4 linked regions of the Sus scrofa genome follow. The protein of the gene in region 1 interacts with the protein of each later gene in a biochemical or structural test. Links are inferred from orthologs where the notes say so. Each region holds a gene or a part of one and is shown on either strand. Other genes may lie near its edges.

Region 1 (2,911 bases):
ATATTAGTAACTTCAGTAAATTTACTTCAGGCTGAAGCTTAAAGGTTATCACTTAACCAATCTACCATTATCAAATTTTTTTTAAACTGTGAAACAAAAAGTATGTTACTTTATGCTATCACATCATATTCTTTAAAAAAAAAAAACAAACACGCTATTTTCCTGTTTTTCCTCCTTTTGGTTTATTTCAAGCTTTCTTCATATTTGAACTTTATCACTAATCATTTGATACAAAGAGGGTTCCCTTTCTACAAACATTATACGTATAATAATAAAAGCCCTCAAGTGGGCTTCTAGACAGTGGGGTCAGAATTACACTCAGTTTACGCATGAGATCAACTCGATAAGGTCAAATGTCCGAATCCAGGCGTCAGAAGTAGTTTTTCCTATTCTAAATCCAACGCTAAGATTATATAGACGAGGCTGCTGAAAATTAAGAATGAGAAACTACTACTAATCACAGTAAAAGATATTTAAAAAGGAAAAGCATGGGAAGTCTTGAAAATACTGTAATTTTTAAGAAACGTGGATTGCTCCTGACGGCTCAAACACTCAAAAGACGGGCTTTAGAGGAAACCCAAACCCAGTAAACGCGCCGCACTGAACGGCAAATCCCACGGGAACCACTGGCCTCCCACGTGTCTCTCAGGAAATGCACAAAACGAAGGAAAAAGAAAGCCAAAGGGAGTTGGGTGAAAGGTTTAAAACAGCAGATAGGGATTCACAGGGAGATGGAGGGCACACGAAGCCTGGGGTGGGCAAGAGAGAACTCGCAGAGCATCTGGCAGGCGCCGAGGACGGAGAAGAGGCCTGGAAGCAAAGCAGGGGGAGGCTTTCATCTGGAGAGCGGGCGGCCAACGGGCCCCACCCAGTGGATCTGCTTCTCAGGTTCCAATGGGGGCGGAGGAGGAGAGCGCGCGGAAGAGAAAAGCAGAGAGGGGAGAAGACGCTAGAATAGCTACAGGTGGGCGCGGGTCAGAGCCCGGGCTGCGCGGGAGCAGGGCTGGCCCCACCTGGGAGCCTCCGAGCCGCCGTAGCCCCGCCCCTCCGCGCGTGGCGCCCCTGACGCTTGGCGCGCAGGCCGCTCTCCTTACAGAGGTCGCTCTTGTCCCGAACGGTCGGCCTCTGCTGCGCCTGCGTCGTCGGGAGGGGAAGTGAGGCGGTTTCCTCGGCGCCTTTTCCGGCGGCGGCGGCGGTAGAACTGGGAGGAGGCGGTGGAGGCCGGAGGGAGCCCGCGCTCTGGGCGGCGGCTGGAGGTAACCTCCTGGGCTGAGCTGGAAAGGCGGGCTCCTTCGGCCTCCGCTCTCTTCTGGGGCTCCCGCAGTAACTCCCTTTTTCCTCTCTGTGTTTCTGCAGGCAGCGCACCGAGTTCCCGCGAGGATCAATGACCCGACGGGGCGCCGGAGCCGCTCTGCTCTCGTGTGGCCTGGGTCAGTGGTGAGCGCGGTGCTCCGCGGACCGGAGGCCGGGCCGAAGGGCCGCAGTCTCCCGCGGCGGAGTGAGGTGAAGGCGGCCGAGCAGGAGCCGGCGGCGGCGCTTGTACGGCGCCTGCGGGGGGAAGGGCAGTTCCGGGCCGGGCCGCGCCTCAGCAGGGCGGCGGCTCTCCCAACGCAGACTCAGGCCGCGGCGACGGGAGGAATCAAGTTGTGTGGTCGGTGATGCCCGAGTGAGCTACGGGCCCGGGCCTCTGCCCTGAGGAGGCAACTCCCACGCAGGCCGCACGGGCCCCCTCGCGACTGGGAAGCTCCGTTTCGGTTTCGCGGCGGCGGCGGCGTTGTTGGAGGGGACCCGGGACACCTGAATGCCCCCGGCCCCGGTTCCTCCGAAGCGATGGGGAAGGTGCTATCTAAGATCTTCGGGAACAAGGAAATGCGAATCCTCATGTTGGGCCTGGACGCGGCCGGCAAGACAACCATCCTGTACAAGTTGAAGCTGGGCCAGTCGGTGACCACCATCCCCACCGTGGGTTTCAACGTGGAGACGGTGACTTACAAAAACGTCAAGTTCAACGTATGGGATGTGGGCGGCCAGGACAAGATCCGGCCGCTCTGGCGGCATTACTACACCGGGACCCAGGGTCTGATCTTCGTAGTGGACTGCGCCGACCGCGACCGCATAGACGAGGCCCGCCAGGAGCTACACCGCATTATCAATGACCGGGAGATGAGGGACGCCATAATCCTCATCTTCGCCAACAAGCAGGACCTGCCTGATGCCATGAAACCCCACGAGATCCAGGAGAAACTGGGCCTGACCCGGATTCGGGACAGGAACTGGTATGTGCAGCCCTCCTGTGCCACCTCGGGGGACGGACTCTATGAGGGGCTCACATGGTTAACCTCTAACTACAAATCCTAATGAGCATTCTCCACCCATCCCCCAGAAGGAGAGAAATCAAAAACCCATTCATAGGATTATCGCCACCATCACCTCTTTGAATTGCCACTTTCTCTTCTTTTGAATTTGAACTTTGGAGTTACAGTTCTACGGTTTGGGGGAGGGGGTTAGGGGGTTTCTTTTTTGTTTCTTTTCTTTTTCTTTCTTTCTTTTTTTTTTTTTGGCTTTGCGTTAGGATGCTCTGAGCTGACTTTTGACACGAACACAAAGTACTTAGATACTCTCGTTGACTTCCAGCAAATGGGATGGGGGAAATACAGCAGTTCTTGATAAATTCCTTTATAATAATGGTTTGATTTTTTTATTTCGAGAGAATCTTCTTTTCCAATGTATGCTTTTTTCCTTTTTGCCCAGTTTCCTTATCACTTGCTGTAGATGGCTTATTTTGCATTCATGCAGACTATGTTGCAAGTCTGTTTCATCTAGTAAACTGAAAATTATTGCTTAATCAAACTGCCGTTTGTCTTTTATATTTAAGGCCTTTTCCCCCTCCCTTATGAATTCCAACTTAGTA
Region 2 (4,597 bases), on another chromosome or scaffold:
GTGGGCCTGGTGGGCTGCAGCGCCTTGTGGTCTCCCCAGACTCCGGCCTCACGCCTAAGACGGGCCAGTCCCTCTTCTCTCAGACTCCCACCCCGAGAGCGTCTCTGTCTCTTTGGGGTGGTGACTGACATGGGTCTTGTGCTGAGAAAAAGACTTTCCCCAGAACATTATGTGAATATTCATGAAGCTTTTCACGTTGCATCCTGATAAACCCATCATAAGCTGAAAACGTCATAAAGTCACAAATGCTCTTAACCTACTGAAGGTCGTAGCTGAGCCTGGCCCGCCTCACCCTGCTCAGGACACTGAGGTTGCGGCTGGGCAGAGCCCCCTCGCAGGAGCCTGAGTGATAACCAGTGCTGGCGCTCCATGTGGCTCCGCTCGCACTGACGGCTCTGGGGCCAGGGGTGTCAGTAAAATGTATCTCACATGTTATATAATATATTTGGTTATTATCCTATTAAATGTGACAGATACATGAGTGATATAGACCTATAAAGAGAGATACAGAGAGAGTTAAGTTTTTTTTTTTTTTTTAAGGGCCGCACCCGTGGCATATGGAGGTTCCCAGGTTAGGGGTCGAATTGGAGCTGTAGCTGCCAGCCTAAACCACAGCCATAGCAATTCGGGATCCAAGCCGCATTTGCAACCTACATGACAGCTCACAGCAACACCACATCCCTAACCCACTGATTGAGGCCAGGGATCGAAGCTGCATCCTCATGGACACTCGTCAGGTTCATTTCTGCTGAGCCACGATGGGAACTCTGCGAGTTAAATATTATACATGAAAGAGAGAGAATGAGAATGTAGTACATAAAAATATGGAAGAATATGAAGAATATACACCGACATGTCATCAGCGATTACCCCAGGGTGACAGGATTAAACCTCTCCCCTCACTGCCATAACCTAACTTCCACAAGGAGCCTGTGTCATGATTATAACAAGAGCATGCCCTAAAGAGCAGCTGGGAGTTCCCGTTGTGACTCAGCGGTAACGAACCTGACTAGGATCCATGAGGACGCAGGTTCGATCCCTGGCCTCGCTCAGTGGGTTAAGTATCAGGTGTTACTATGAGCTGTGGTGTAGGTCACAGATGCGGCTCAGATCCGGTGTTGCTGTGGCTGTGGTGTAGGCCAGCGGCTACAGCTCCAGTTAGACCCCTAACCTGGGAACCTCCATATGCCACGTGTGTGGCTATAAAAAGAAAAGAAAAAAAGGGGGGGGGGAGAATGGCTGGGTTTGAACCTAGACTGGGGATGCCATTGAACTTACCCTGGGAGTGATACCCGAAGATTTTTTGGGGGGGTGGCCACTAAAGCCTGCCTCCTGCTTTTCTCCTGTGACCTCATGAGGTCTTGGAATGATTAGGATCTCTTAGTCACACTCTGGGGAAATGCGCTGTAATCTCATCGTGAGATGACCGGGGTTTTAAGTGATTCACTCCAAGAAAGTCCTTGGGGGGTGAGAAGAACGCCTTCTCCGCTCTGTCTGTCACTTCGGCTGAAGCTGAGCAAAGCCCAGAAGAGCCTCTGCTGCTCCCTGGACTCCAGCGTCAGACGCTTGCCAGGGCGGAGCTGGTTAACCTCGAGGAAGTTACTTGAGCTTGACTTCAGGAACTGGGTGGTGGCAGTGAGCTGGGAGGGACGCCGCCGTGGCTGGAGGCCGATTGGCCCAGGAGCGCGGCCGCAAGCTCCCCTAGTCCAGGAAGCAGCTCGGAGCCGCGGGTGGGCCCGCAGGTGGTCCTGCCCCACCCAGCCCTGCCTCCCAGGGCACCTGGGCCGAGCTCTCCTTTGAAGAACGAGCCCCGCCACCTTCGGGGCGGCCGCGGGGGGAGAGATGGTCCGTCAAACCGAGGAGGGGGCTGGTGAGTCCCGGTGTTGCCTGGGCGAGTGGGGCGGGGGTTGGCGTCTCTTGATCAGCGTGGAAGGTCTGCGAGTCGCCGCCTCTTGGGGGGGAGTGCCGACTGAGAGAGGTGGGGGGGGAGGGGGAGGGGAGAGCCCGTTGTGACACGGAAGCTCCCCCCCCACTCTTCTTGCCTACGCGCCGCCCTGCGTGTGGCTCGGTGGCCTGTGCCCTCCTTCTCGGCGACCGTGTCTGTACTTCCGGAGTCTGGGTGCCTGTCCTAGGAGCTCTGGAGTTGCAGGTACCCCCAGAGCGCGTGTGACCCCGCGGAAGGAGGGGCGTGGGAGACCGGGCGGAAAGCACCGGTGGGGCTTCCTCTGGGGTGTCCCCTCCCCGCCCGCCCGCGCTGTCACCAGCTGGACGCTGAGTAAAGGGATGACACGGTTCGTGGATGGTAAGTCCCGAAAGTTTTTGCAGAAGAACTGGCTTCGAGGAGCCTGGGTCAGGGCTCTCGCGTGTCCTGACGTCAGGGGCTGGCTGGGTGTGGCGCTTTCGTGGGTGCCTTCCCTGGGTGACAAGGACGTGAGGCTGCCCTTTAAACGTAAGACAGCTTGCAGCCAGTAACGAGTGACAGGAATAGGTCTGAAACGCACGTTAGGATGTTTTGCAAAGCGGCTCATGGCTTTGAAAGTGTTGGGGCTCCTTTTTATGCCTTTCCTCGTCGGGCGCACCATGCGGCACGTCTCCAGGTGCCGTCTCTGCTGGGCGGGGCGTGGACCACATCCGTGGGGTCCCGTGGGGGCGGCCCCGGGAGAGAGGGCAGTGGGTGTTGGTTCATAACGCTGTGCCGGCAAAGAGGGGGCGGTTGCGAGAGGCGATTCCGGGTCAGGGCTGAGCCGCCCCCGTGGGAGTTGTCTCGGAGGGGAGTCCGCAGTAGCCCAGGTCTCTGGTGCACAAGGGGCCCTCGTGCCCGTGGAGGAGGACGCTCGCCGATGGCGCCTGGCCTGGGCAGTGGGCAGACGCGACCACCACTCCCTGAGCCGGTCCTTCCCTCTGACCGCTGCTCCTGCCCTGGCCTGGCCTCAGACCTGCCCGGTGGCGCTGTTCACCAGCCACTGCAAACTCGAAAGTAAGGGGGCCCGTGTTGTCGGCCTCTCCCATGTCGGAGGCTTTAGCTGAAACGCAGCTGCTCAGGGTGCGCCCTTGACGCAGGGGTGACGTGGGGCCGGGTGGTTTAGAGGCGGTTAGCAGGCAGCGTTGCTTTGACAGGTGGCTCTCTGTCTCCCTCAGTCCCCCTGGGAGAGCTTGGTCGTGTGGTCTCTTTGGGACGAGAGGGAGGCAGTGTCGCGAGGCATCGAGGGGAGATGTGGAGGTGGCATCAGGCAGATGTGAGCGTGAAGCGAGCTCGTGGCCTTTCTGGGCGGGTCCATGGTCTCCCCCGGGAGAGCGAGGTGCCAGCGTGTTGCTGCTCTCGCCGCGGCGTGGACTAGCTTGTTACCCAGAGAGGCTCCAAGACGGGGGAATCAAGTTTGACAAATGGCTCGGAGTGCCCGCTGTGGCACAGCAGGATTGGTGGCATCTCGGAAGCGCTGGGAAGCAAGTTCCATCCCCGGCCTGGCGCAGTGGGTTAAGGATCCGGCCCTGCCACAGCTGCGGCTCAGGTCTGAGCCCTGGTCCCAGAACACCACATGCCACACGGTGGCCAGAAGCCCCCGTGGTTCTAAAGAAGCCCAACTCCGCCTGCCCCACAGTCCGCGGTCGCCGTCCTGCTGCAGACGAGGCGTCGCCTCTGGTTCTCCCGACCGCTGACTTCCACTCTAGCCGTGCAGCCGTGTGCCAGCGGAGAGCAACCATTTCACTGAACTGGGCACCATTTTCTTTCCTGCTTGGGCTGTTTAATGGGCTATTTATTCGTCCTTTTGTTTTGTTTTGGCCTGGGGCATGTAGAAATTCCTGGGCCAGGGATCGAACCTGCACCCTAGGACCATATCACAGCGGTGACCGTGCCAGGTCCTTAACGGCTGGGCCAGCGGGCACCTCCTAATCTGCTCGTTTTAGTGTTTGTTCCCCTTTGATTAACCTTTGACCCCTCTCTTTGGGAAGGACTCTGAGCTCCTTGGTGTGTGGGACACACAGCCCTCACCCGTGCACAGAAAGGCTTTCTGCCGGGTGTCCTGGGCCCCACCTGACGTGTGTTCGCCGTCCCTGGCACCTGGCCTCTCCCTGGCCTTTCCCTTGTGCAGGGCACGTCCGGGGCTACTTAATCCCAGCCCCGAGCACAGGCTGGGCGAGTGCAAGGGCGGGGTGCTGATTCTGCTGAGCCCTCAGCCAGTGAGCTTGAGTTGGGCTCAGTCTGGAGTTGTTTGGCCAGGAATAGTTTAATTAGAATTTCAGCTCTGGAGACTCTTCACACTCAAGGAGTCTTACCTCCCCTAGAAACTGGAGGTAACAGTGCATAGTTCATTGTCAGGAAGTGTGCAGAGTTCGTGGTTGGACTTTATTGTCAAGTTCAAATGAAAATGAAAAAAGATTTGTAAGCTGTGGACACGCTGTGACTCTAGGGCAGAGTTACGTGGGAAAAGGGGCTGGAGAGCGCAGAGTGGCTCTCCTTTGGGATAGTGGGTTTTCAGGTTGCATCTGAAGTAGTCTCTCCGGTGTTAACTCACCCCTCATCCCCTCCTGTTCTCTAAATGTGTTGCTTGTAGCCGGGCCAGCCTCACGTTGGGCAGGTTGCTTAGGCGGAGGCGCG
Region 3 (4,493 bases), on another chromosome or scaffold:
CCCCTGGGAACCCCAGACAGCCATCCACTCCTGCCGACGTCTCACATACTCTACACTTCTAGGTGCCCCACACACACCCTGGAGGGCCACATGGCCCTCACGCTCACGGACGTCCACGGGGCCCCCATGTTCCCCAGATATCCACCGGCAGCCCCCACGCTTCCCAGCTGTCCACATGGTTCCCGTGCACGCCTGCGGTCTACACGTGCTTCGCACGCTCCCGCAACACTTGCAGGTGTTCTCAACTGTCTCCCGACATAAATGGATGGTCCCCCACGCGGCCCAGATGTCCACAAAGGTCCCCAAGCCCCCTAGATGCTCGCAGATGGTCCCCAGGCTCCCCAGAAGGTCTCTGGCTCCCCCAGACCCGTGTCAGTTCCTTTTGCCAGTCCAGCCGGCTGGGCCTCTCCTCGGGAGGCGCTGGCAGTCCGAGGGCAGGAGCTGGGTGCGAGCGGTAGGGGTGGGGTGGGGGCTCACCTCTCCCCCAGGTAGTCCCCGATGGCCGTCTTGTTCAGGCCTTCGCCCTTGTACAGGAAGCGGGCGATCTCCTCGGGGGTGTTCTGTAGAAGTTCATCCTCCACCAGGAACTGGATCCCCTGGTGGGCGGGGGTGGGGGCTGGGTCTCAGGGCCGGCGTGCTGGGCAGGCCACTTCCCACCAAAGTCTCAGAACCCTCAGCCTCCGAACCCACCCCCCATGCCCAACAGAGCAGGGCCGAGTTTCATTTCCAAGCTTTGCCCAGGTCCGTACTTAGCATCATCCCTCCCACGTCATAGCCTTTGCCTGGTTAATGCCAGCCCCGCCCTCCCCAACTCCCCCCAGCCCAGCAGGGTCTGGCAAGAAACAGGAGCTCCAAAAATGTTTGCTGGTTGACTGAACAAACTACAACTACTTCAGGCAAGCAGAATAAAGTGGGAGTTCCTGCTGTGGCACAACAGGATTAGCAGCATTTCTGCAGCACCAGGACACAGGTTTGATTCCCCAGCCTGGCACTGTGGGTTAAACGATCCGGCACTGCTGCAGCTGCAGCACTGGTTACAAGAGCGGCCTGGATCTGATCCCTGGCCACATGTCCCAGGGCAGCCAAAAATGGAAAGGAAAAAAAAAAAAAAAAGAAAAAAGGAATAAAGTGGAAAACCATTAGTAGTCAAGTGCTGTGAGGGCCAGGCCTCAGGCCAGACTAGGGCTTTTTCTGGCTCTCCTGATGCCACGAGGATCCCCACTGTGGCTACACCTCACTCTGGATTGTGTATCCAGGTCTAGGGGCTCCTGGAGGGCAAGACAGGGTCAAAGTCTTCTCTGGGTCCCCGGCCTTGCCTAGCAGAGGGACGGGCCCCAGGCAGGCCTCAGAAAATGGGCGTAAAATGAAAGAATGAATGAACAAACATTTTTCTTCCATTCGGGGAACACTAATTCATCCTTCAAACCTGACCTGAATACCCCCTCCTCAGGGAAGCCCTCTTTGATGCCACCAGGCTTCCTGCTCTGAACATCCATGGCCCTGGTACCTCTCTCTCTGTTATGGCACCTGTCAACCCTCCTTTGCTCATGTCCCTGTCCACGTTCCCTACCAGACTCAACTGAGTTCCTCCTGGGGACTCCAGATTACATCAGAAGTGGGTCCAGGGAGTTCCCGTCGTGGCGCAGTGGTTAACGAATCCAACTAGGAACCATGAGGTTGAGGGTTCGGTCCCTGCCCTTGCTCAGTGGGTTAAGGATCCGGCGTTGCTGTGAGCTGTGGTGTAGGTTGCAGACGCGGCTCGGATCCCGCGTTGCTGTGGCTCTGGCGTAGGCCGGTGGCTACAGCTCCGATTCAACCCCTAGCCTGGGAACCTCCATATGCCGCGGGAGCGGCCCAAGAACCAAGAGATAGCAACAATAACAACAACAACAAAAAAAAAAAAAAAAAGAAGTGGGTCCAGAAATATGAGCAAAAAGGGGAAGAGGACCTCCCACGCAGAGGATCAGGCACAAGCAAAGGTCAGGGGACAGAGGGACAGCCAATATCTGAATCCAGGGATCAGGCCCGAGTCTGTCCACCACCACACCTCTGCTACCTGGAGATGCCAGAATCCCTGTCTGTCTTCCTGGCTGATCCCAGCCCTGTGGTCCCAAGCACCTTTTTGGGGTCCATGTTGAACTTCTTCCTGCCCATTGCCATCTTCCGGTTCCGCTGCAAGGTCTTGCTGCAGGGGCAGAGAGTGCAGGATGGAGGGTCAATGCCTGTGCATCTCCGGCCCAAGCCAAGCCCCCTGACCCCCAGGATCCCGGCCCCAGCCCTCACCTGCCCTCATTGGCCTCCAGCCCCTCGACTTCGCTCATGGCTTCGCTGAGCTCCTCCCGCAGGCGCTGGATCTCCACCAGCAGCTCCTGCTTCCGCCGCCGGATGTTCTCCAGCTCCATCCGCTCCTCGGGAGTCAGGTCCGGGGGCTCTGGGGAAGAGGGTCGGGGGTGGGGGGGGTCAGTTCTGGGGACCCCAAACCCGGATGTCTGCCATCTGCGGGAGGACAGGGGTGGGGGTGGGGGATGGGCAGGACGTCTAGGTTCGGGGAGGATGAGGGTCCAGCCTCCTCCGTCTGCTGGAAGAAGGGGTTGGGGGCCTAGATTCCTCAATCCAGAGATGGAAGGGCTGGGAATCCAAACTCTTTAGTCCGGGGGTGGAGGAAGGGGACTGGGAGCCTCAACTCAGGTCTGCGGGGAGCAAAAAAGGGCTGGAAGCTTGAGCTACGGTCCATTACTTGACAGGGGGCTGAGGCCTTGGTTTTCTGCCTCCATTCTCGGCGAGGGAGCTGAGGGTCTGGGTGTCCGGACTCCTGGGTCCATGGAAAGTAACTATGGCAGGGGAAGCTGATGACAGCTGGCAAGAGTTAAGGAAGGGGGCGGGGCATCGGAAGCCCCCGCCCCCGCCTTAGCGGGCTCTCGGTAGGCCCCAAGATTTCTCCCCACCCCACCGCCCCCAGAAGCCCCCCTTCCCGCTCCCAGCAGGCACTGGGCTCGCCCGGCCCCTCCAGAGGGAATGGTTCCGCCCCGGGCCTCGCCTCCACCGCTCCATCCCACCCCCTCCCGCCGCCACCGGAAACAGGCTCGGCCCAAACAATGGCCTGGAACGCCCCAGTCTCCAGCCCCGCCGGAAGCGCGTCCCAGGCCCCACAAAAGCAAGGCGACGACGGGGCCGAAAGGCTCAGCAAGGCGCGCTACGGGGAGAACGTTCGCGGCGGAACCTTCGGGGCGAAACTCTCCATCCACTTGCAGCCGGCCCCGCCCCTCCCCGACTCACCGTAGACACCGTCCTCCATGGCGGCTAGGAAGGCCCGCGGGGAGTCCGGGGCGGTCCCGCCGGTCGGGCCTGGATCCGCGTTGGCCCGCGGGCTCGGGTGAGCCCGCTCAAACGCCCCGGGAGCCACCGCCGCCTCCTCAGCGCCAGTCCTCAGCGCTGAAAAGACTCTCCCTTCGTCTCCCAACCGCCCCGCCAGTAGGGACCGCCCCTCGTTTTGACACCGCCCAATCTACGGCGGGACTTCTCGCCTGCCCCGCCTCCGATATCAAAGGATCGCCCTCCACGGCCAATAGACGCACAAGGAGTAGATATAGCCGTGTCCGGCAGGAGGTAGATGGTCTGCGAGGCCAATCGGAATGCTGGCAGGGGACCGGGTCCCGCCTCCGAAACTAAAGAAAGCACTTGGCTGGCTTGCAAGCCAATGAGAAGCCTCGGAAAGGAGTTGCGTGAGAAGAGAGAGAGGAATACGCCTGCGCAAGGGCTGCGGGCATTTAGGATACCATTCAACTGAGCCCCGCCTCCACCAATACGTTGCTAGGGGGCGGTACCTTATTAGGCTTGTTGCCAGGGGGCGGGGCACAACCATTGGTTGTTTCTGTGAGTCACATCTCCTAGCAGGCATAGCTGGCTTTTGACCGCAGTGGTTGCCATGCAACCGAGAGCGGCTTTGGCTCACCTTTCTTTGGGCCTCCTTCCTCTGGGCACTGGCCCCTCCGATCTCTTACCCCTTCCCATGGCCTCCCCATCAACCTCAGCCTCTTCATAGTCAAAGAGTGGTGAAACAAAAGACATTCTTTCTTCCAAATGCTAGCTTTTTGGTCCCTGTCTTGGAGAATGGGACAATAGGAGAAGGCCAGATACAGTGAAAACGTAGGCTCTGCCTTCCCAGAGCCGGCTGCCTCTCAATTTCCTCCCTCTCTCCCCCGAATTCCTCCCCTTATTTTACCACCCTACACCACCCCCGCCCCAGGACAACTCCCCTTTCCTCGGCATCCTCCCACCTTTCATTCCTCCCCCTTACTGTCCTCTCCAACCCGGCTCAGCTCACTTTCCCCTCCTCTCAAAGTCTTGTTCTTCTTAAACTCCTCCCTCCTCTCCGAGCCCTGCATCTGAGGACATTTCCCCTCCCCCACCTCTCATTCCCTTTCCTTGCAGGCAAAACGGGTGCAGGGACCTGGTTCAGATGGAGAAACTGGGCAAAAACCGCCTCTTCCCTC
Region 4 (4,616 bases), on another chromosome or scaffold:
CACGAGGTTGCCGGTTCGATCCCTGGCCTCACTCAGCGGGTGAAGGATCCGGCATTGCCGTGAGCCGTGGTGTAGGTCGCAGACGCGGCTCGGAGCCCGTGTTGCTGTGGCTGTGGTGGAGGCCAGTGGCTACAGCTCCGATTCGACCCCTAGCCTGGGAACCTCCAGGCAGGTGCAGCCCTAAAAGGACAAAAAAACAAAAAACAAACAAAAGCACCTGGAGCAGCCATCTCGGTCCAAGCTAAGCACACAGGATATTATCAGTTGTGTATCTCTCCGTCCGTCAGACTAAGAGATGGGAAACCCAATCTCAAGCAAGATCTTCCAACCCAGAGCTAAAGCAGGGCGTCCCACAGACCCAACGCCGACATGCAGGCCCACTGCCACATGCACATCTTCCCAGGCCGGGACCTCAACAAGGAACCTGAGCTCAGGCAAGCCGGTTCTGCACCCAACAGCTCAATGGACACTGTCAACACTCACGGGCACCCGGATCCCTTGTACAGGCTCTTAACGTGATGACGGATGCTCTGAAAAGCAGGGTGTCAATGATGCCTCTTAAAGACCTCTGGGCTTAAACATGTATCCACGCTTGAACAGCCACTTTACGAATGTCCGCAAGTGTGAGAAGTCAGCAACACACAAAAACTAGCAGATCAGCATTTTAGGAATTTCCTATTCCTAAGTCAAAAATTTACAAGTAGGAGTTCCTGTCGTGGCTCAGTGGAAACAAATCTGACTAGCATCCATGAGGACACAGGTTCGATCCCTGGCCTTGCTCAGTGGGTTAAGGATCCGGCGTTGCTGCGAGCCGCGGTGTAGGTTGCACATGTGGCTCGGATCTGATGTGGCTGTGGCTGGCAGCTGCAGCTCTGATGTGACCCCTAACCTGGGAACCTCCATATGCTGCCGGTGTGGCCCTAAAAAAAATAATAATAATAAAGGCAAAAATAAAAAAAATTACAAGTGAACGTCGGTAATCAATTTGCATGTATTTGGGTTAATACCAGAACACACACAGCCCTGCTGCTGTCTCCACCTAAACTTTCCTAAGCGCTGGGAGGGAGGGACTGGAGGGTGAGGGCCACCTCCTCCTAGCGCAGCCACAGCCCCGGGGGGCTGGGCAGGACCCCCTGCCCCACTGCACTGTGCCTTCCCAACACCTGCCCCACAGGCGAGGAGGTGGCCCTGAGGCAGTTCTGCTCAGGCTTCCTCAAGTCTGCATGCACCATGGTGCTCCGAGGCTCATTCCCCTCCCTCTGGGCTTCCTCTCTTTCCCTTCTGCACAGAAGGAACAGCAGTGAAATTTTTTGGCATTCGGCGTCTCCCAAACAACGAGTCTATGGAGAACATATGCCAACCACACACAGTAAAGTAACTGCGCTCAAAATAGACGTCTGGAACATGATCCCTAAGCGTCCAGGTGCCCCGTGGCAGACCCAAGGAGCGAATTACTTCAGCCCGACCAGACCTGGGCCCTCCGCTGGGGGAACGGCGGGCACGTCTGCGGAGGGCACTTCCATCGGGCAGCCTGGGGGCATGTCCCCAGGCCAGGCGCTCCCCTCGACTTAGGAAAATATCCAGCTTGTGTGGCCTGAGACGTCAGGGAAGACACTAAATCCCGGAATTAGAACCTCTCTCAAGGGGAAAGAGGCGCTTCGGCGAAATTCGACCAGAGGTGAGGGCAGAAGTCAAGCACGAGAGGACGCGGACCCCGGCCTTAAGTGCCCTCCGCGACCCCCGCGCACGGAGCCCGGCTCCCACGCTGCGAGTTACCTGCTCTGCCCCGTAGACGGTGGCGAACTGGACGAAGTCCGCGATGCGGACGAAGCCGTCTCCATCCCCGTCCAGGGCTTCGAACACGGCTCGGAGCCGGGGGGCGTCCTCCGGACACCCCGCGGGCTCGCTCGTTAAGGGGCGGGTCTGGCTGAAGTCCGAGGGCCGGTCCGGGTCCCCGGGACCCAGCTCCAGCGCCGGCTCGCCGACCTCGGGCGAGGGGAAGGGGGGGAAGAAGTCGACCTCGCCCCGCAGGTGGTGGCTGCGGCTGAAATCCTGCGCGCGGGCTGTCGCGCTGTGCGGGCAGCTTGGGGGGCCGTCACCCTCCGGCTCAGCGGTCCAGGAATAAAGCGGGCCTAGTTCCGACAGCGGCGGGTCGGGGTCGGGGTCGGGGTCGGGATCGGAGTCGGGGTCCGGGTCTGGGGCCCGGCCAAGGCGCTGAGGCCTCCGCTCCGGCCCCGGGCCCCGTCCGGCCTCCGGGCCGGCTTCGGGGTCTTGCGGGCCGAGCCCCAGGTGGAGGGCGGGAGCGGAGGGCGCGCCGGGCCCGCCGGGGTCTGGGTCGGGGCCCGGGCCGCCCGAGGGGGAGGCCGGCCGGCCCGGCTCCATCTTCATGGGCGCGCCCCCGGCCGCGGCGCAGGCCCGCGAGGCCAGTGGAACGGCGGGCGGCGCGGGCGGCAGACAAAGGCGCTCAGGGCGCGGCGGCGGGCGCGGGCATCCCCGCGGCGACGCGGGCGGGCGCGCGCGGGGCGCCCGGGCTGCTCGGGCTGGCGCTCGGGCCCTGCTCCGCCCTCGCCCATCTTCGCGCCGCGCCTCAGCTGTCCTCGGCCCTGCGGCGCGGCGGGCGCGGGCCCATGGCGGCGGCGGCGGCGGCGGCGGGTGGCACAAGGAAGCCGAGGGTGAGGACGAGGAGGGGAGGCTAAGGAGCGGGTCGCCGAGGAGGGGGATCTGGAGAATCAGGACCCTAAACAGGAGGACGGCGCGCAGGAGGACGCTGAGGGGAACACGGTTGAGGAGGACGAGGAGGTGTCCGCGGTACCCGAGCTCACGCCGCCGCCCTCGCCCCGCCCTCTGTCGGCCTGACGTCATCACGTCGCGCCGCCATCTGGCTCCGCCCCTCGCCGGGCTGCTATAAAGGCAGGCAGCCGCGCTGCGAAGCTGTGGGGCTGTATGTGGGTCTCCCTTCCTCTGCGGCACCGGGAGGCTGGGTGTAAAGGGGGCGAATGCGCTGGAAGGCAGCAACCCCGGGCGTGACGTCATGCACCCCCACACGCAACGCGGATGACTGCGTCTTGCCTGCATAAAGAGCTCCCTCAAATTGATAAGCAACGGATGCGATCCAACCGGGCGAGCGAAGTGCGCGTGACATCCTCCTCCCGCAACCGTGGCTCGCAGTCCCGGCCTGAGTGTGGAAGGGCCCTGAACATGCGGTCCCTCACTTGTGACCCAAGGAACGGGTGGCCCAACGCAGAGGCCTTTTTTAAAAATCTCGGACAGGAGTTCCCGTCGTGGCGCAGTGGTTAACGCATCCGACTAGAAACCATGAGGTTGCGGGTTCGGTCCCTGCCCTCGATCAGCGGGTTAAGGATCCGGTGTCAAGGTTGCAGACGCGGCTCGGATCCCGCGTTGCTGTGGCTGTGGCGTAGGCCGGCGGCTACAGCTCCGATTCGACCCCTAGTCTGGGAACCTCCATATGCTGCAGCTCCAATTAGACCCCTAGTCTGGGAACCTCCATATGCCACGGGTGCAACTGTAAAAAGAGAAAAAAAATTCACAGAATTGTATCACCAGAGAATGAATTTCACTGCGTGTAAATTATACCTTAGTAAAAAAATAATTTTTTAAAAAAATTATCCCTGTGTTTTCTTTTTCTTGTTTTCCTTATGTCCTCTGCCTTCCTCATGTCTTTAGAAAACACTAGCCCCCTAGGCCTTCCCCGAGTTCCAAAGAGTAAATTTAATTAGAAAAGTGAAAAAAAAATGTAGAAAGAAAGGAAAAGAGTCAAGCAGCAGACAGACAGAACAGTCAAGGAGCCTTAGTTAGCTCCTCCTCAAGGGGGCTATAGATCACTTTTTTTTTTTAGGGCCACACCTACAAACCCACGTCCTCATGGACAGTAGTCGGGTTCAATACCCCTAAGCCACAAGGGGAACTCCGATAGATCATCTTCCGAGCTGTTTTTTTGGGTTTTTTTTTTTTTTTGTCCTTTTGCCTTTTCTACAGCCTTACCCTGAATCATATGGAGGTTCTCGGGCTAGGGGTCTAATTGGAGCTGCAGGCCAAGCCTACACCAGAACCACAGCAACTCAGGATGCAACCCACACCACAGCTCACAGCAACGCCGGATCCTTAACCCACTGAGCAAGGCCAGGGATCGAACCCGAAACCTCGTGGATTCTTCGTCGGATTCGTTAACCACTGAGCCATGACAGGAACTCCCTTCAGACCTGTTTTGCAGAGGCTGAAACCCCACCAGGTGAAGAAGTTAAGTATATGGAGCCCACCAGCTCCTAGTCCCCAGACCAGCTGGAACGGAAGCCTGAGGATGCTGACTTGATTTCATCACCACCAGTCAATCATCAGAATATCCTCGAGCTGATCACGTGCCCCCTCCCTCACCCTGCCTTTAAAAGCCTTTTCCTGGAGTTCCCGTCGTGGCGCAGTGGTTAACGAATCCGACTAGGAACCATGAGGTTGCGGGTTCGGTCCCTGCCCTTGCTCAGTGGGTTAAGGATCCGGCATTGCCGTGAGCTGTGGTGTCGGTTGCAGACGCGGCTCGGATCCCAAGTTGCTGTGGCTCTGGCGTAGGCCGGTGGCTACAGCTCCGATTCAACCCCTAGCCT

Evidence for each region.
Region 2: the proteins of ARF6 (region 1) and CYTH1 form a complex in vitro, tested with the Homo sapiens proteins (2 studies listed by BioGRID and IntAct, with this or other methods). The link is inferred for Sus scrofa from reciprocal best matches to the Homo sapiens genes ARF6 and CYTH1.
Region 3: the proteins of ARF6 (region 1) and CYTH2 form a complex in vitro, tested with the Homo sapiens proteins (3 studies listed by BioGRID and IntAct, with this or other methods). The link is inferred for Sus scrofa from reciprocal best matches to the Homo sapiens genes ARF6 and CYTH2.
Region 4: the proteins of ARF6 (region 1) and RAB11FIP3 form a complex in vitro, tested with the Homo sapiens proteins (2 studies listed by BioGRID). The link is inferred for Sus scrofa from reciprocal best matches to the Homo sapiens genes ARF6 and RAB11FIP3.

Annotation. Positions count from the first base shown.
Region 1 is NC_010443.5:179,712,207-179,715,117, forward strand, and holds ARF6 (ADP-ribosylation factor 6), read left to right. Parts: upstream 1-1,830; coding exon 1,831-2,358; downstream 2,359-2,911. UniProt on the Homo sapiens protein: GTP-binding protein involved in protein trafficking that regulates endocytic recycling and cytoskeleton remodeling. GTP-bound form plays an important role in the transport of multiple palmitoylated proteins form the Golgi to the plasma membrane.
Region 2 is NC_010454.4:3,391,415-3,396,011, forward strand, and holds the start of CYTH1 (cytohesin-1), read left to right. Parts: upstream 1-1,720; 5' UTR 1,721-1,842; coding exon 1,843-1,870; intron 1,871-4,597. UniProt on the Homo sapiens protein: Promotes guanine-nucleotide exchange on ARF1, ARF5 and ARF6. Promotes the activation of ARF factors through replacement of GDP with GTP.
Region 3 is NC_010448.4:53,868,277-53,872,769, reverse strand, and holds the start of CYTH2 (cytohesin-2), read right to left. Parts: upstream 2,878-4,493; 5' UTR 2,823-2,877; coding exon 2,738-2,822; intron 2,432-2,737; coding exon 2,284-2,431; intron 2,186-2,283; coding exon 2,119-2,185; intron 597-2,118; coding exon 478-596; intron 1-477. UniProt on the Homo sapiens protein: Acts as a guanine-nucleotide exchange factor (GEF). Promotes guanine-nucleotide exchange on ARF1, ARF3 and ARF6. Activates ARF factors through replacement of GDP with GTP.
Region 4 is NC_010445.4:41,282,122-41,286,737, forward strand, and holds the start of RAB11FIP3 (rab11 family-interacting protein 3), read right to left. Parts: upstream 2,878-4,616; 5' UTR 2,863-2,877; coding exon 1,777-2,862; intron 1-1,776. UniProt on the Homo sapiens protein: Downstream effector molecule for Rab11 GTPase which is involved in endocytic trafficking, cytokinesis and intracellular ciliogenesis by participating in membrane delivery. Recruited by Rab11 to endosomes where it links Rab11 to dynein motor complex.